Linked DNA regions of Saccharomyces cerevisiae S288C. The protein of the gene in region 3 interacts with the protein of the main gene of each other region in a biochemical or structural test. Each region holds a gene or a part of one and is shown on either strand. Other genes may lie near its edges.

Evidence for each region.
Region 1: the proteins of SRV2 (region 3) and TWF1 form a complex in vitro, tested with the Saccharomyces cerevisiae proteins (one study listed by BioGRID).
Region 2: the proteins of SRV2 (region 3) and ABP1 form a complex in vitro, tested with the Saccharomyces cerevisiae proteins (4 studies listed by BioGRID, with this or other methods).
Region 4: the proteins of SRV2 (region 3) and CYR1 form a complex in vitro, tested with the Saccharomyces cerevisiae proteins (one study listed by BioGRID).

Annotation. Positions count from the first base shown.
Region 1 is NC_001139.9:640,196-643,564, reverse strand, and holds TWF1 (twinfilin TWF1), read right to left. Parts: upstream 1,556-3,369; coding exon 557-1,555; downstream 1-556. Other genes in the region: SLX9 (Slx9p), read left to right, coding at 1-417; YGR079W (uncharacterized protein), read right to left, coding at 1,733-2,845; tubulin-binding prefolding complex subunit PAC10, read left to right, coding at 3,194-3,369. UniProt on the Saccharomyces cerevisiae protein: Actin-binding protein involved in motile and morphological processes. Inhibits actin polymerization, likely by sequestering G-actin.
Region 2 is NC_001135.5:263,147-267,402, forward strand, and holds ABP1 (Abp1p), read left to right. Parts: upstream 1-1,921; coding exon 1,922-3,700; downstream 3,701-4,256. Other genes in the region: YCR085W (uncharacterized protein), read left to right, coding at 1-123; CSM1 (Csm1p), read left to right, coding at 246-818; YCR087C-A (uncharacterized protein), read right to left, coding at 860-1,321. UniProt on the Saccharomyces cerevisiae protein: Regulates ARP2/3 complex-mediated actin assembly. Recruits ARP2/3 complex to sides of preexisting actin filaments, which may promote nucleation or stabilization of filament branches. Binds to actin filaments, but not actin monomers.
Region 3 is NC_001146.8:364,985-368,821, reverse strand, and holds SRV2 (adenylate cyclase-binding protein), read right to left. Parts: upstream 2,082-3,837; coding exon 501-2,081; downstream 1-500. Other genes in the region: mitochondrial 37S ribosomal protein uS4m NAM9, read left to right, coding at 1-227; U2 snRNP complex subunit YSF3, read right to left, coding at 2,410-2,664, 2,787-2,789; THO2 (Tho2p), read left to right, coding at 3,105-3,837. UniProt on the Saccharomyces cerevisiae protein: The N-terminal domain binds to adenylyl cyclase, thereby enabling adenylyl cyclase to be activated by upstream regulatory signals, such as Ras. The C-terminal domain is required for normal cellular morphology and growth control.
Region 4 is NC_001142.9:423,158-431,167, reverse strand, and holds the start of CYR1 (adenylate cyclase), read right to left. Parts: upstream 6,012-8,010; coding exon 1-6,011. Other genes in the region: CTK2 (Ctk2p), read left to right, coding at 7,059-8,010.

The DNA.
Region 1 (3,369 bases), on a different chromosome or scaffold from region 3:
CTTAACGATGGCATAGCTGCCAATTTTGATGGTATTTCTAAATCTTCCATTAGACGTAGGAAAAGAAAGCTAAGAGAAGAACTAAAACCAAGAATGCAAGATCTGCTCACTTCTTTGGAGCAAGAAAAGGATTTACGGGGCATTATTGAAAATAGTAGCAAAGACATGAATAACGATGATGACATCGACATGGATTCTAAAATAAGGTTTGTGGACACAAAGGAAATGAACTTGAAAAAGATAGAACCTGGTTCTGTTAGGATAAAAAAGAATCAGCCAAATATCAGGAACCAAAAGGGTGCAAAGGCATTGGCTGCTAACGAAACTGCAAGATTCAATCAGGTCCTAACCAATCAAGATTTCCAAAAAAATCCATTTGGCGCCTTAAGAGAGGTTATCAAGCTGCAAAAACAATGAACATTAAATAGCATAGCATAACAATTTTTGCCAGTGTAATATATATTCCAGCAAACCTAGAAAAACATTCAGTTTCATATTTAGAAGAATAAAAACGTATGTATTGTTGGTCACACATATATAGATGCCATTTCTATCTCTATGTTCTTCTTTTCCTCAATGGGCCCTTTGGTTTGTTGAATTTCAAATTGCTTTTGTTTGGGAGATCTGGATTGGATCCATGATCGAGGCTATCTTCTTTATTTGTTGCCATAAGTAAGGACTTGTCTAGTTCCACAAAATCGCCAATTTCTACCACTTTACTAAATGCGATTTTTTGATCATTTTTCAAGTAGTTGATAAATCCATTCTTGTTAGAAGCATATATCATTCTATCTTTGACTTTGCTGCCAGAGGGACAAGAGTAGATAAAGAAACTTGAATCACCCTGCCTGAAAATCGTGTAACTTGGCCCGGGCAAGTCAATGTACAGTTCATCTACGGAGGGACATGTATCAGATTGCACGATCTGGATGGTTTCGTTCGAGGGATCGATTTGAAATATGATTAAATTTTTACCCTCGCTATCCAGTATTTCATTGATAGGTTTCTCAGAATTGACCCTGAAAGTTAACGATAAAGGCGAAGCACTGTCCTGAGAAACCAACTTGACGGATGTGTTTTTCCTTAAAAGTGCCTGTTGCTTATTGATTTCGATTTGCATTTCTTCATCATGTGTCAAGGGCTTATTCTGGCCAGCAGGACGGGCACTATCAAAATTTTTCAAATCCACCAAGTCCTGTGCATCTGTGATCAATGGCTGTTCGGTGGATAAAGAGTTTGAACCTACCTGTCTTGCCAGAGTGTTCTTCGTCGAGGCATAAAGCATTCTTGATCTTACCGGAGAACCATCGGGGATGAATGACACAAAGAAGTACTTATCAAGCCCTTCCGGCTTATAGAAGATGTACAACGGTTCTCTTTCTTGTGATGCCAACTGTACCAGCTCCTCGAAGCTACGTGCGACTTGCGTTTGATGTACCGAGGTAGAATCAGGGGAAATTTTGGCTATAATGATGACGATGCCATCTGCTGAAAGATTTTCATTCAGAGAATGCAGCAAGGCTTGTTCTGCGACTATACCGGATTGAGTAGACATGTGATGTGTTGAGATACAGAGTTCCTTCTTATTCAATTGCCTATCAAATTAGCCAACTTGTCCAAATAGTAAAAGATATAGATCTTATAATGACATATTTTTCAAATCCTACAAAAACAAGTTACCCTAACACTGTATAAAAAGAATCTATTTATTGTACTGTTAATAGTACTGTTATTACAACATGAATTCACCGATACCAAAACCAGCTGATAACGTCTGGCAAACACCACTCTTTCTTCTTATGGCCCTCTTCAACAGCTTATCTCTTTTAGACAAGGGTTTCCACTTTTTAGAAATTGCAGAGGATGAGCGCAGGGAATTCTTCAAAAACTTCCTTTTTTTCAAGGTGAACTTGCCCTCATTGTCTCTGTAGCACAATAACTTGATATTGTAGTCCAAATTATCAAGAAGGGAGGAAGATGGTGATGAAGATGGGGAGGGTTCCATGGCTTCAGCACTGTTGATATCATCTTTGATGAAGTCCTCTATTCCCAATGTGTCGTTCGAACTCGTGGTGGCGTCGCCTGGATGCAGAGCCACGAGGGAGCATTTTCTTTGTCTTGTCTCCTGCAGGCAAATGGCCTCTTCTGCAGTGCCATTTACTTCCTTCCAGAAGTCCGTATTATTTGCGTCACTCTTGCTATTGTCGCCGAAAAAGAATGATTGCTGTATCTGTGGTAGAAAGATACTGCTCTCGCTGCTATCGTGGAAATTATTCTTGTTGTGATTTTCCTCCATGGGTAGTTCATTGTCCGCACTGTAACTAAATGTGCTGTTGGTGAAGGAAGGCTGGTGGCATGGGGAGAAGAGAGGATCAGGCTCAGAACTATAGCCGAGCGTACTTTCGAGGTCGTCATCATCGTCATCATCGTGTAAATCTCCGTTTTGGGTGCCATCGTCCTCGGTGGCGTTCTCAGATAGTGAACCGGCAGTATCTATCGAACGAGCAGTGGTGATGATGATTGGGGTGGCCTCGACTGCACTGGCTGTGGTGTTTTTACCATCTGCTGTCCCGCGAGTGTCCGCTTTCTTTGTGTGCGATCTGGACAAGGGAGTAATATCCTCCTTGGTGATGACCTTATTCGGTACCTGAAATGCCTTGCTGCTTTTATTCATTGCTACGTAAACTATGCTATATGATACAAGTGAACGCTCGTCGAGGGAATAACTGCTGCGTGTGCGTGAACGAGTAAATGAATGAATGAATGAGTTAACACATGAAAACGAAGATAATCGCAAAACGACAATGAACAAATAAACACATCCCTCATTTGCGGCACTGCTCATCTCATCTCATCCTTTATATTAGGAGGCAACGAGCTTTCTCGCTCACCAAAAAGAAACGTGCGAAAAAAACCGAAAAATAAAAAAAAAAAAAAAAAAAAAAAAGAAACGCGCTGCAGGAACGTGACTTCCAAAAAAGGAAGGTGCCGTTCCAATATGGAAACCGCAGGCACTCATGATTGTGCAGGACGGGTAACACATGATTTGTTTCGTTTCTTCGATCATTTTGCAGAACTGGTCAGAAAAGAAAGTGAAAAAATCTAGTTTAACACTATTGTAGAGGCTATAAATTGTAGACAACATTTACTGCAGAAAACTGTACGCACATATATAACAGATACTACGGTTATTATGGACACACTGTTCAACTCCACGGAAAAGAATGCCAGAGGCATACCGCAGGCTCCATTCATCGAAAATGTCAACGAAATAATTAAGGACCCAAGCGACTTCGAATTGTGCTTCAATAAGTTCCAAGAACGGCTTTCTAAGTACAAATTTATGCAGGAATCTAAATTGGCTACGAT
Region 2 (4,256 bases), on a different chromosome or scaffold from region 3:
GTGAAGAAGGGCGGCCTCATTATGGCTCGCCTTATTCTGTTCACCCTCTGCGCTCTTCCCGTATTATTTCATTTTATTTTGTTTATGCTTCAATATCTTGTATTTGTTTACATTGAAAAATGATTGGAAAAAGGTCACATTGAAATCAAAACAGTGAAGAAGCAGACAGACAAGAAGGTCATTAGATAGATAAACAGGAACAATAAAAAAAAGAAAGCGAAACAAGACAATCCAACGTGCGCAAAATGGATCCATTGACTGTATACAAAAACTCAGTGAAACAACAGATCGATTCCGCAGACTTACTAGTGGCAAATTTGGTAAATGAGAATTTCGTACTGTCGGAGAAGCTGGATACAAAAGCAACCGAGATCAAACAGCTGCAGAAGCAGATAGACTCGCTAAACGCACAAGTCAAGGAGCTGAAGACTCAGACTTCCCAACAGGCAGAAAATTCAGAAGTCATAAAGGACCTTTACGAGTACCTCTGTAACGTACGTGTACATAAAAGCTACGAGGATGATTCTGGGTTGTGGTTCGACATCTCGCAGGGCACCCACTCAGGGGGATCTTCCGATGATTATTCGATAATGGACTATAAACTCGGATTTGTCAAGGGCCAGGCCCAAGTCACAGAAGTCATATATGCGCCCGTTCTTAAACAGCGATCCACCGAGGAACTATACTCGCTACAGTCGAAACTACCGGAATACCTCTTCGAAACGTTGAGTTTCCCCCTCTCGTCGCTAAACCAATTCTATAACAAAATCGCTAAAAGCCTGAATAAGAAAAGAGAGAAAAAAGATGAAACCGAGTAAGCTGCTACATAATGTCTATATATCTACACATAAAATTCCGATTATTCCTTTGCATACCTGATTTGCCCCTCAGAATCCACAACCAGACTTTTCAAGAAGGTCTTTTTTGCCCCTTTATCCTTCATGGTTTTCAAAATTTTGTACAACGACTTGCCCTTGTGAAGCTCGATACCGTTCGAGGTCTTTTCCACTTTCTCTGCCTTCTTGATCACAGGCTTCTCCACTTTCTTTGCAGGAGTTGCCACTGGCTGGTGCTGGTGCTGCTTCTGCTGCTGCTTCTGCTGCTGCTTCTGCTTCTGCTTCTTGTTGCCCTTGTACAACGCTTTCTGGTACTTCTCGTCCTCGCTGATGCAAGACGTGTGATTCTTGTAACTCACGCCATCTTCAAACGTCTTGGAGCAATCTATGCATGTATAGTACGCGTTAGGACATCTATAATAATGCTTTTCGGTATTCTTCTTGGGCACAGTATCATTACACACCTCACAGTTGAACGTAACCATCCTGTAATAACAAATATTTCTTGACTGAGACCGTTTGCTGTTGTATACAGAATACTCTTAGAGCTCATCGCAAGTTAAAAATTTTCAATTTTTTTTCACTTTTTCCCGTCAAGGCAAAAAGCAACCAAAAGAGAATGAACCTTTATTTTTGATTTATTTATTATGAGATGCTGCTAGTCCACTCATCTGCATCAATGTAGTAGTCACAAAGCTAATATTTAGACGTTACTTTGATATCTCTGTCCATGAGAGCACTTATTTTAGGAAGTTAAATGAGACAGTCAATAGTTCACAATATCCCGTCAGCAATGGAGGGAAAAGGCATTCCTTTTCCATAGGATTTTAATCGTTTTCAAGCATCATACGCCCTCGAGGAACTCTTGTTTTCGCTTTACTATGCAACCATTGATGTATTTCTGTATAAATGTGCGTCACGTGGCCTTGTGTCTCTTATTTCCACTTGTTTTTTCACAATGCGGAAAACCTCGATTAAAGTAGAAAAAAAGGATATAATAGGAGTATACCATATTGGATAGTTCAATCTATAAACAAACAATCGCATAACCGCACGTATATACACGCACACACCTATCAATCACAATGGCTTTGGAACCTATTGATTATACTACTCACTCGAGAGAGATCGACGCAGAGTACCTGAAGATTGTCAGAGGCTCCGATCCTGACACCACCTGGTTGATTATTTCACCCAATGCGAAAAAAGAATACGAACCTGAGTCTACCGGTTCCTCCTTTCACGATTTCTTGCAATTGTTTGATGAAACCAAGGTCCAGTACGGACTGGCACGTGTGTCCCCACCAGGGTCAGACGTTGAGAAGATTATTATCATTGGTTGGTGTCCTGATTCTGCGCCATTGAAGACAAGGGCCTCTTTCGCCGCCAATTTTGCTGCAGTTGCTAATAATCTGTTCAAGGGTTACCACGTTCAAGTTACCGCCAGAGACGAGGACGATCTTGACGAAAATGAACTGTTGATGAAAATCAGTAACGCGGCCGGTGCCCGTTATTCTATTCAGACTTCCTCCAAGCAACAGGGGAAGGCTTCCACTCCTCCCGTGAAGAAATCCTTCACACCTTCCAAGAGCCCTGCTCCAGTTTCTAAGAAGGAACCAGTCAAGACTCCTTCCCCAGCACCTGCTGCTAAGATTTCTTCCCGTGTTAACGACAACAATGACGACGACGATTGGAATGAGCCTGAATTAAAGGAACGCGACTTCGATCAGGCTCCCCTGAAACCAAATCAATCATCTTACAAACCAATTGGCAAAATCGACTTGCAAAAAGTGATTGCTGAAGAAAAGGCTAAGGAGGACCCACGTCTTGTTCAAAAGCCAACCGCTGCTGGTTCCAAGATTGATCCTAGTTCTGATATCGCTAATTTAAAGAACGAATCAAAATTAAAGAGGGACTCCGAGTTTAACTCCTTTTTGGGCACCACTAAACCCCCCTCCATGACGGAATCTTCATTAAAGAATGATGATGATAAAGTCATTAAGGGTTTTAGAAACGAGAAATCACCTGCTCAATTATGGGCCGAAAGAAAGGCAAAGCAAAACAGCGGCAACGCCGAAACTAAGGCTGAGGCACCAAAACCTGAAGTTCCAGAAGATGAGCCTGAAGGTGAACCTGACGTCAAAGATTTGAAATCAAAATTTGAAGGATTGGCCGCTTCAGAAAAAGAGGAGGAAGAAATGGAAAACAAATTTGCTCCTCCTCCAAAGAAATCAGAACCAACTATTATCTCACCAAAACCCTTCTCCAAGCCACAAGAACCTGTGAAAGCTGAAGAAGCCGAGCAGCCTAAGACTGATTACAAGAAGATCGGCAACCCATTACCCGGTATGCACATTGAAGCGGATAATGAGGAAGAACCAGAAGAGAATGATGATGACTGGGATGATGATGAAGACGAGGCTGCTCAACCTCCTTTGCCTTCGAGGAATGTTGCGTCAGGAGCACCAGTGCAAAAAGAAGAGCCTGAACAAGAAGAGATCGCCCCAAGCTTACCTTCTAGAAACTCGATCCCAGCTCCAAAACAAGAAGAAGCACCTGAACAAGCACCTGAAGAAGAAATTGAAGAAGAAGCTGAGGAAGCCGCTCCACAGCTGCCATCAAGAAGCTCTGCAGCTCCTCCTCCGCCTCCAAGACGAGCAACTCCAGAGAAAAAGCCAAAGGAAAATCCTTGGGCCACAGCAGAATATGATTACGATGCTGCAGAAGATAACGAACTGACCTTTGTGGAAAATGACAAGATTATCAATATTGAATTTGTCGACGATGACTGGTGGCTAGGGGAACTAGAGAAAGACGGCTCAAAAGGTCTCTTCCCCAGCAATTATGTGTCTTTGGGCAACTAGAATCACACGTCAGCGTCATGCTATTATATTATTCTTACGTAAAAAAATACTTACAGAGACGTTAAAGCTTTTGTATAGATACTTTCACGAGCCTTCCCTTTCAGTAAAATGAACAAATTATTTTGCCTTGTCCTTCTTTGTTTCAAGCGTTTATATGACTCCTCTACAGTATTATTTTTCAACAGACGGTGTGCCCGTACGGCGTTGTCAAAACCTCGAACATAAAACAACACTGAAACAAACTTATTGCACTCCTGCATCGCATACAGATCTGATACTTACTACAACCATAATGCTGTTTTAGAATCGCATCAGGTGTTTACCAGAAGTGTATGGTACATGGTGCTTTCCTTATGCTCACTATTTCGGATTTACTTCTAGTCTATGTATAGATTTGTTAGAGACCAGTTTTAAGCTACAATGGAACGTTAAGATTAAGAAATGCATGAAGAGTCTCCCAGTAGATATATAAAGCTGAATTAAATTCAGTACAATGGAAGTTTCCACGTCTTTCTGTATTTTCATACCTTTAATTATAGGAAAAGCACACTACAAA
Region 3 (3,837 bases):
ATGGTAGGCAAGATCCTAAAAAACCCTTTTTCACACCATGGAAGCCAAGACCATTTTTATCGCCTTTCGCCATTTTACCTCATCATTTGGAAATATCTTTCAAGACATGCCACGCTGTATACCTAAGGGATCCCGTCGCTCGACCAGGCCAATCCGAAGTAATTTCACCATTTGATGTTCCTGTTCATGAACGTGCATATATGTATTACTTGAGAAATGGTAAATGATCGTCGTGTATTGTTGCACGCGTCTTTTGACTGATCTTCAGCCTCTCTTTACACTGTAAATATTTAATTTTTTTTGTTTTTAAGTTCTACTCGAACGATCAAGTAGTCACTTAGTCGCTCCTCGTTTTCCTGTTACTTCTTTAAGAAAAGGTTACACATGAAAAAAAGGTTTTACAAAAAGTATATAATTGTTTATTCATTCACTTTTCTTTCTGATTGATTCAAATGTGATTTATTTCTTTTAACTAAATACAATTAATGCTCCTCGCAATATTAACCAGCATGTTCGAAAACAGCAGATTTGAACTTACCATCAGCGAAGCTATGCTTCATCTGTTCAGGGATTGGGAATTCTACGTAATCATCGTCCTCGCCGATTGGTAAGTTGACGTTAATAGCAGTTGAGCACGAGGTGTAGATTTCAGTATTCAAGGATTCCTTGGATAAATAGATGTTACCGCCGTCAGATTTATCAATGGAGATTTGAGGTAGGGAATGGTTAACTTGAATGCCAAACTTGTTGGATTTGATGACATCCATACCGGAAATGCTAGAATCAAGAACAACACTGCATGACTCAGTTTCACTCAACGAGATAGCGTTAACTTTTCCTTTTATTTGAACAAGAACTTGAGAACATTTACCTATGAAGATAGACTCATCTTTATTTGCATCAATAACCAGAGATTCAGTTTCATTTTCGTAATTCTCAATAAACCATTTGTTTCCTACCAATTCCTTTCTAGGAGGCCTCTTAGTTTTCAATGTTGATGGCTTTTTTGGCCTTGGTGGTGGACCGGATTTACTTCCTGTGGAAGAAACTGTAGAGGATTGACGTAATTCAGGATTTTTGTGAGTTTGTTGGGATTTGTCTACTTTTTTCAAACCCTTAGTGATATTTTCACCCTGATTTAGTTCGGCGAAGACCGCGCCAATACCGCCTTTGTTAGCATCACTACTCGTTGCTGGTGTATCATTAGAGATTTCAAAGACGGAAGCTGGTGGGGCTGGTGGAGGAGGTGGTGGTGCTGGAGCCGCTGTAGCACTTGCTGGCGAAGGAGATGAAGTAGCACCTGTATTCTTCGTTGATTGTGCCATCGCGTCAGCAAAATCCATACCGTCTTTTTTCCAGGAAACCCCAGTAGTATGATACTCTTTAATGTAGGCTTTCAAATTATCGAAAGAGGCCAAAAATTTCTTAACCCATTCAACAGCATTAGGATCAGACTCTCTGTATTCTTTCAAAATTCTATTAGTCCAAAACTGTGCTGCGTCCTTGAAATCTGTGACCATAGACACGGGAGTGTCCACTGCAACCCAGGAGAACAAAGGAGCACCCTCAGATAAAGCGCTCAAATATGCGAAGTATTTGCTTTGACGGTTTGATTCCTTCAATTGACCCAGCTTTATAATATTTTCGTTGATAGGTCTTAAAGAATCAGCGAAAGTTTGAGAAGAATAATCCGGTTTTCTTGATCTCACAGCAGCTCTTAAAAAAGTCAATTGCGATTGAAAGCCTCCCTTTAGCAACTGCAAAGCATCTAAGACCACCGTGTCGATCTTTCCTGATAATTCTACCAGCGGATCAATATTCTCACCGATGTAAGATTGGAACGCAGTTATGCATTTCGGATCTTGTTCTACTTCAGGAGCATTTTCTGCAGAAGGTTCATTCGTAGTATTCGCATCGGCCCCGGAGTCGGAAGGCTTGTTATTTTTAGATGCCTCCAATTTATTCTGAATATAACCTTCTTGATAGATGGTGACATCCTCTAATCTTGCAGTGGCTTCTTCTAGCCTTTTTAATAGCTTAACAAGGTTATAACCTTGCATTGTGTACTTAGAGTCAGGCATGATTCGATTTCACACGGTTGCAACTTGGCCTACTCAATTACGAAAAGTTTCAAGCTGAGTTTTCCCCTATACTACCAAAAGATTTCACTTCTAAATCCCTGTTTATGACTTCACGCGACATGTATAGATCATTTTAAACGATATGAATTGTATACTGTCCCAACATTTTATATCTTTATATAAACATCAAGGTTAATAATGTTCGACAGTTACTAGAATCAATGCCTAAAAGGTTACTGACTGAGTGTGATCTCTACCATAAATCTTGAGAACGACATACGAGGCGTAATTTTATGTAAAAATTATTTATGGATGTGGCTTCAACGTCCTACCTCTCTTCTCGTAAGTAGGCTTTATAGCCAGGGGACATGGATTTCAGGAGGTGAATACGAGTGTCACGTATACTAAGGTCTCCTCGGCTCAATGAAACGTACTCCAAAGATGCGGAGTGGCCTTGTAATGTATTTAGTGTATCGTTTCTCACATTTCTCTGCCACTGTTCTCGTGTAGTGCTCTCATCTCCCAGTCCGATGTACTTTTGTTTGTATATCTTCTGCAACTTCAACTGCCTCTGCTTTTCCGCCTGTTTTGAGTATTAGCATTACGTATAAGCCGCACGGACTTGCACGATTCATCGCAAGCGTAGTTAGTACCATGGTAAAGATGATTTCAATTCAAACTAAAGCGCAATAGAACGTAACATACCATTTCTTTTCTTAATTTCACTGTTTCGAATTGTGTAATATAACCATTTTAGCCACTATTTACATGTTCTGAATGAGAAGGCTTATGTTCTTCTCTTCTTCCCGGGTGACAACGCTAACTTCGGCGTAAGATTTTCCGCTATTTCTTCAATAGCGACATAACGTATGAGAGTTTATGCCCAGGGAACACGTTGATTTAGAAGCAAACACTGTTGCATAAATTATAGGGCTGTGATTTTATCGTCTTTATCTAAAGCATAATAGGGTGAAACGGTTTCAGTTGATACATATTCGCACCAGTATACATTTTCAGGACTTTATGGCAGAACAGACGCTACTTTCCAAATTGAACGCTCTTTCTCAAAAAGTGATACCACCAGCTTCCCCTAGTCAGGCAAGCATTTTAACGGAAGAGGTGATACGAAACTGGCCTGAACGATCAAAAACTCTCTGCTCCGATTTCACTGCACTGGAGTCAAATGATGAAAAGGAAGACTGGTTGAGGACTTTGTTTATTGAACTGTTTGATTTCATAAATAAAAACGATGAAAATTCTCCCCTCAAGCTTTCTGATGTTGCATCATTTACTAATGAATTAGTGAATCATGAAAGGCAAGTGTCCCAGGCTTCCATAGTTGGTAAAATGTTTATCGCCGTCTCAAGCACTGTTCCAAATATAAATGATCTAACAACCATATCATTATGTAAACTAATACCGTCGTTGCATGAAGAATTGTTCAAATTTAGTTGGATATCCTCTAAGCTGCTCAACAAGGAACAAACCACCTTATTAAGGCATTTGTTAAAAAAGTCAAAATACGAACTGAAGAAATATAACCTTTTGGTAGAAAATTCAGTGGGTTATGGTCAATTGGTAGCCTTATTAATATTGGCGTATTATGATCCCGACAATTTTTCCAAAGTGTCCGCATATTTGAAAGAAATCTATCATATTATGGGGAAATATTCCTTGGATTCTATTCGTACTTTAGATGTTATTTTGAACGTTTCTAGTCAGTTTATCACTGAAGGGTACAAGTTCTTTATTGCTC
Region 4 (8,010 bases), on a different chromosome or scaffold from region 3:
CGAGCAGATGTTTTATCGTTTCTGCAAATTTCCAGTCCTGAACACCTCTGTTGTCGTAAATGTAATAATGCCACACTGGATTCGATTCTAGTAATTACATGATCAAAAAATAACAACGCATCCTTCTCAGAAATCGATTGCATAATACCATTTTCAACTTTAGGGTTAAATTTAATATAACTTCCCTCCGTCCGAGAGTCTAGTTCAATAAATCCGCCGCTTAAAGCTGACATTATAGATTCCAGTCTGTTTGAAATGACTCTTAAACGAAACAACATCGTTTCATTGATTAATTTTGACTGCTCATCTTCAGATGCAAATTCGTGTCTGGAAGCAAGAATCTTAGGATACGCAATAGTAACGAGTTCTTTGGTTTCGAGTCCCTTTAGCTTATGCTCGCCAAAGTCAAAAAATGCCCAACCAATACTTTCCAGCATGGCAATTTCTCTTTCAAGAACCTCTCCGATAATTTCTTCACCATAAACTTCCTTGAGAGATTCCTTGCCCTTCACTACTCGCTCATGATACTTCATTATCTTGTTGAATTCAGAGTAAAAATCACTACTCATTGCAATCTGACCACCGTCAGCGACGCCCTGGACCCTTGCTGCCTTATTGACCATCGGCCCCAAATAGTCCATTCTTTGAGTCACTAAATCAAGCTCTGGAACTGGGCAGCCCCAATGAATACCCATTCTAACTGATAGGCCTTGATAGATAATGTTACCATTTCTATCCGTAACTTGGCAGCCGTCTTGAACTGAGGTAATTTCCTCCGGCCATTGTGCATCCAAGAGTTTTAATTGAACACTTAAGCACCATGTCAGACCACTAGTTGGCGTAGGAAATGCCACCATAAAGGCGTCTCCTTCTGTCTTTACTTCGTAACCACCGTAAATTCGTAGTTGACGACGCATAATGTCATTGTGAGTTTTTATTGCGGTCCTCATTGCGTTAGGGAATAGCTCCCATAAGAAGGTTGAGCTTTTGATATCAGTGAAGACCATTGCTAGGTTACCTGTTGGCGGAGAAATCTCAGGTTGAAGTCTTCTTAATGTAGTATCCTCGAAAGTACTTCTTCTAGTCATTAAAGAGTTTTTATTTAAAGTGAACCGATTTTGTTGCTGAATGTTCTCGTAAAGAGCAAGGCACAAAATTGTAATATTCTCTGTACAGCCGTAAGCCATGGCATGATCCTTCAACTCAGCTGCGGCACGGAGTGGATCAGTACTATTCTCACGCGCGATATCACAAACTGTATCCACGTCCATGTATTCCCATAACTTATGCGTTGCTACAATAAGCATCTCGTCTGCTTTTGTTAATGTCACGACAGATATGTCGGGAGAAGCATGAATGTGGGGAAGCAAATCAAAAAAACCCACTGCTCTAGACACATCTACAACACCATCTAATTTTCCATTGTTGACATACCCGCCAGATATTCTGATCCTCTCGTATTCTTCCCGCTTTGTTGGGAGATGTTGTTTGGTTAGCGTTTGGTAGTCACCATTGTTTTTGGATAAAATAGCCATACAGTCACCTAAATTTGCAGCGAAGAGTTTCTTCCCTCTGATATATATCACAGTAGAGCAAGCGCCACTTAGCAAGTCTGCATATGAAAGATTGGCAACATCGGCACCATTATCAACAGAATTTAGCATTCCGTTAATCTCCTTATTCAGTTGCAAAAAACTGAAACGAAGTGCAGTTTTTATATTATCATCTGTTTCGTCTCCATACCTTTCCAGTTGTCTGATCAGTATTTTATCGTAAATATCTCTAACAATTCTTGATATATTGTGGCCATAATCTGCATTTTGGTTTTTACTATCATGAAGACATAGTAAGCATTCGTCGTCATTTCCGCGGAATCTTTCAAAGGTAACATCACGAGATGACACATAGTCTCTTTGACCTAATGTATCAGCAACACCGTAGCGCATCCCATTTATTATTGATGCAGTTGTCCTTAAACGGAAATTGACATTTTCATCCGGTACTTTGGTAGTATTTAAAGTTACGTCCATTAAACCTAGTACCTTTAACTGAGGTAATACTGTCAGATCTGACAAATCAGCATCAATATCGTGACTTATAAATGACTTTATTTCAAACCTTCGATTTCCTGAAAAATTCAAATATTTTAGTTCTTTATTATTCCTCCAGTTCCAATCGTAATGATAGTTTGATATATTATACTTTAATTGATTTGCTCCAACATCAAATACACTTAGCTGTGAGAGATTTGATAATTCTGCAGGCAGAGATAACATTTGGTTACTATTCAACATTAAAGTCTTTAAAGAGCTCCATTTCAAAACTGTATCACCCGACAATGTCGTGAGCTTATTACCGGAGAGGTACAATTCGGTAATGCTCTCAAGTTTCATGTGCGATACATCTGAAAAATTGTTGTAAGAAAGATTTAGCACTTTCAGATTGACAAAGCAATTGAAAAGAGGCCACATAGCATCATCAAATTGATTGTCTGCAGCAATAAAAAACATCAGGCTTTTAGATAACTTTGACCCATATGACATGTTATGGTAAAAAGAATTTTCTAAGCTAGAGTTACCGAATGCATTCGATGAAATATTTAGCGATGTTAGTTCAAGGTTTTCCATACCGTCAACAAAGTCCCTTATGTTGTTAGAATGTAGATCTAATGTCCTCAAACTTTTCAGTTGAGATAGCTCGGGTGGAATATACTCTAGTTTGTTTCTCGCCACTGAAAGGAAAACTAATTTAGTCAACTTGGATATCTCCTGTGGCAGTCTAGTCAAATTATTCTGATTAAGTTCAAGTTTCTCGAGGAAAGATAGTTTGGTGAGTAATTCTCCAGGAATACTCGATAACTGTGCCTTGTTCAACGTCAAACTTGTCATGTTTTTTGGATAAAAATCTTTGAAGGATATAGAAGTGATTGGATTCTCTTGAATTTCAAGGGCTCTTAGTTTCGGCAAAGTGTCTTCAAAGTTCGAAATTCTATTATCTGTTAAAAAAAGGTTCTGCAAGTTAGACGCATTTGTCTTAATTGATGATATTCTGTTATATCTTAGGTTCAGCGTCCTCAAATCTGTCATTTCCGATAAGTCGCCTATAAAATTTAGTTTGTTATGAGAAAGGTTCATCTTCGCAAGCTTTACTAGGTACTTAGTGGACTGTGGTAAGCTTTGGATTTTATTATATGATAGGTCTATTTGTAAAAGATTGGTGCAGTAGTTAATAACTTCTGGGTAGTGCATGAACTTGTTTGAAGACAAGTCTAGCAATTGCAGATTTTTCAGTTCAACAAATCCAGCCGGTAGGCTTTCAAGCTCATTACATTGAAGGTTTAATATCGTTAAATTACTCAGTTTCATGATTGAGTTCGGTACTTTTCTTATGAAGTTTCTCTGTAATTCCAAAGATACTAGTTTATACGCCTTAGTGATATTGGAAGGAAATTTAGATGCTCTAATATTAACCATTCTCAAACTTAATAATTTAATCGAGCTTTCAATGAACTCCAGAGGTAGGAATATATTTGCGTTATTAGAAACGTCTAAACTTTCTATTTCTGACGTATGCTGGTAAAAAATGATGGGAGGTGTAGTCAGATCCATATTCCTTAAATCTACGTGAACAAATTCGCTTCTCATTATTCTTTGTTCTTGTTCAGGAGTAAAGTGAGAAGGTGTGACAGGATGGAAAAGAAACTTAAAAACAAAACTTAAATCCTCTATACCCATAATATGAAGTGGGTCTGACTTTCGATAACCATTCAAAAGTAAAAGTTTTCTTTCAATTAAAATAGGTTTCGAAGTTGGTCTCAAAATTTTTGACAACTTTCCCACCTTCAGGGAAATTTGAAAATTCCCTTGCGCTGTAATGTTAAATTTTCTTTTAAGTGCAGGTATTATCTCTTCGACGGTAGTCGCTGGAGTACATGAGAGAGTCGTAAAAGTGTCATCAGTATTGAATATACGAATAGCATAGTGCCTCTTTGGATCTAAATCACTGAAATCTTTATAGTAATGTTCCAGTTGGCACTCGACCTCATCGTCCTTCTCATCTTGTAGTAATAATCCAGAACTCTGGGCACCATCTGGTGAATTCATATTTACCGAAGAGGATGTAAATTTCTTGGTATACGATTTCGTTTTATTCAGGATCGGTGTTTTATTATCCTGCTCTCGGTTGGCCTCCATATACGCGTTAGTGTACGAAGAGGAATCGCTGCAGGAAGATGTATCTTCTGAACTAATAGATGAGGACGGTAAAGATGAGGAAGTGGAAGACGTGTCGTAGTCCCCATCTAAATTTGATGGAGCATATCGTATACTTGGGGGACTCATAGCCAAATTACTTTTTAAGCGGTTCACAGATTTAGTATCGAGTGCGGTCTTGCTATCATTCGGAACGTTTTCTTTACATATATCAACAAAACTTGAGTTACTGTCACCCGCAGTGACCATTGATTCGTTATCCTTTCGATCGTGATGATGACGAGAGTCTTTTTTTGAAGGTGGCCCCGGTGACATGGGATCAAGTTCATCAGCATCTATACTTGACCTTCTTGATTTCGATCTCCCTTTAGGTTTTGTTTTTTTCCTTTTGGTTTCCACATCCCAGCTTTGAGGTGCTACCCATTGTGATCTATCATTGGAAGTTGATGTGAATTCACCATTAGGTGCTGCGGCAGCGACGGAGAGATCAGCCATTGACACCGACTTCCTAGGACCTTCAGGCATGATCACCGTTTTGGGTGAGGCAGTCTCAGTCCCGTGTGTAGAATTTAGTGTAGAATTGACAGCGGTGGGTGGCACCGTCTTTGTAATATCAGTAACATCCTCAAGGTTTGTATCTAGCCTGAAAAGGGATGGTTTACATGAAATGGGTGTTTCTATAGTAGGCGTTGTGGCTTCGCGTTTGTTGTCAGAGTTAGAATTTTCCGGAATGTTCTCATTATATTCTGGAGTCACTTTCTCGGATTTATTATTAGTGTGATCGGCGGATTCGCTGTTAACGCTGTCCTTACTTTTAGTAGTTGGAGAAACATTAGATACGTTATGTTGGAGAACATGACTACCCGACGTCGCCATACTTGCACTGTCACTGTTAGTCATTGAACTGACATTTGAACCTCTTCTACTGCTTGAAGAAGATGTGGAGCCTAGCAGAAAGCTTTTTCTGTGCGAGCGTTTGCTATTGGGAACATCGGATGAATGTAATGTATTTTCTGATTGCGCAACAGCCTTTGGTCTAATCTGTTTATCTGCAATACCATTATTTATATCATGGACGGAAGAACCACGTACCAATGAGGACACTTTCCTTCGTAAAGTGCTTGGCACGTTATCAGCCAAGTGATTAGATAAAGTGGAGTCTTTAGAAGGTTTCCTATTAGCAGGTGCAGGATTTACCGTTGAAAGGGAAAGGTTAGCAACTTTACTTTCCTTTCCTGACTTATTGCCATCGTGACTGTTTGACCCTGAAAACCTTTTGAATAGGGTTTCCGCTAATGATGGCTTCCTATTGGGAAAAAACTGAACATGATGATGATCATGATGACCGTCATGATGGTTATGAGTAGATGTGTAGTTGTGCGTCTTGGATGAATTCAAAGCGTAACCGTGGTCTTTATTATCATCATGAGTACTATTCGCGCTCGTCATTGAAAGACTGCTCAATGTTTTCTTCAGTAAATATGGACCCCTTTTGATTTTCGGTTCTGTCGGCCTTGGATGTTCCACGTTCGAAATACTTACATCATCCATACCATTTGGAGTGATACTCTCCCTGCTTTTGGTCATAGAAAGCGACCGTGGGCTGTAATAACTATATGCGCTATTCCTTCTTGATTTGTGACCACTATTTTGTTCGTGACGCTTCTTGACTTTTGGTACCTCATCATGAATGCTTCTATCGTTTGCTTCCGTAGGTGAGCTCTGCTCTATCTGTTGTTCTTGTTCTTCCTGTCGCTGAGGGCCAGAAATTTCCGAACCAGTATCAGGTTTTGATGACATTTCGACCTAGGGATTTCGTTTGCTGTTGCTTTAGCTCGTTTCGCAATGGTTAGCGACAATAGTAAAGATATGCTATTTTTGGTTGTGAACTGCAGCAAGAGGTCTCCTTATGCTTTCTCTCCTCTGTTACTATACTTCCCAGCTGTCTTTACTGAACTTTGGAAGAAAATACACTTTTTTAGAGTCGCTTTTCTTATGGTAAGTCCCCCCTGCTTTCCTTCCAAAATACAAAAAAAAAAAAAAAAAAAAAGTAAGAAAAAGGAAGTGAAAAAATAAGGTTATGATTGAATATTTAGGTTTGATAGAGGAGAAAGTAAGGAAGGTCTCAGTTCAGTCTGCCATTCCAATTTGAAACATAGAATTTCAGTGATTAACAATGCAATTGAACAATTGAACACAGAGAAGAAGAAGAACGAGAACTGACTCTAAATCTGGCATTTTATCCTTTTTTATGGCTATTTACATTGGGAGCTAGGCGAAATGCATATTTGTTTACTTTCTGGCATTTACAAAATCATTTTTTAAAGGGTATGACCTACTCTAATGCGCTTTTCTGTAGAACAACGCAGGGAACGGTATTTGATGTTTTCAATGATGTATGACTTATATAACATCTATTTCCTAGGATTTTTAAATAAGATGGAGGGTTGGCCGAGTGGTCTAAGGCGGCAGACTTAAGATCTGTTGGACGGTTGTCCGCGCGAGTTCGAACCTCGCATCCTTCAGTATTTTTTGTCCTTATCTTTTTGCTGCACCGAAAGCACTCATGAAGTCTACGGCTTGATGCACACCGTTTGGGAACCTTTGCGATCCCACGTACCTAAATGGTCCTTTTCGGTACAACTTGCTGAAGAATCACTGTGTGGCGGGTAATGCTCTCTTTATACTTGCATTGCGAAAATCCGCGATGATCAAAAATCCAAACAAGTACTGTCCTGAAAGCCGTCTTTATACACATAGATATATATATATATATATATATATCTGTATCTATAGAGCGAGAGGAGATATAGAGCCAGCAAAACTAAGAAAATTACGTACTTTGATATGCCTAGCACGTTTGAATCCCAGCTTTTTTTTTCGAGACCGTTTCTGTCTAAAAGGCAAATTCAAAGAGCCCAAAAGAATACAATATCGGACTATCGAAATTACAACCAGAAAAAACTTGCCGTGTTCAAATTTCTAAGTGACTTGTGTGTTCAGCTGAAATTTCCACGGAAGACTTTAGAAACAGCAGTATACTTTTACCAAAGATACCACCTCTTTAATCGCTTCGAGACCGAGGTTTGCTACACTGTAGCGACAAGCTGCCTGACTTTGGGCTGTAAAGAAGTTGAGACAATTAAAAAAACAAATGATATATGTACTTTGTCATTACGATTGAGGAATGTGGTTAAAATCAATACGGACATTTTGGAAAATTTTAAAAAAAGGGTATTTCAAATAGAACTTCGGATATTAGAGTCATGCTCATTCGATTATAGAGTCAACAATTACGTTCATATTGATGAATATGTTATAAAAATTGGTAGGGAGCTATCCTTTGATTATAAGTTGTGCAATCTGGCTTGGGTAATTGCTTATGATGCTTTGAAGCTAGAAACTATTTTAGTCATACCCCAACATTCCATTGCATTGGCCATTTTGAAAATAGCATATGAATTACTAGATAATAAGAATTGGTCAAGTAAAAGGTATTCTTTATTTGAAACAGACGAGAAATCCGTAAATGAAGCTTATTTTGATATAGTCAATTTTTACATCAATTCATTCGATATGTGCGATCTACAACGTCATTTACCGGCTGATTTGCTGCCGATTGGCGTTGAAAGGTTTATGGAACTGAAAAAAAACGCAGGACCAGAATCTGGATTGCCGCAAATACCAGATCACCTGTTGAATGCCGATCCTTATATCACTATTACTAGAGATAATAATGTCCAAGAAAGAAGATATGTACTTTCACTGGAGCTAATTAATGGCGAGTCCAGCATAAATA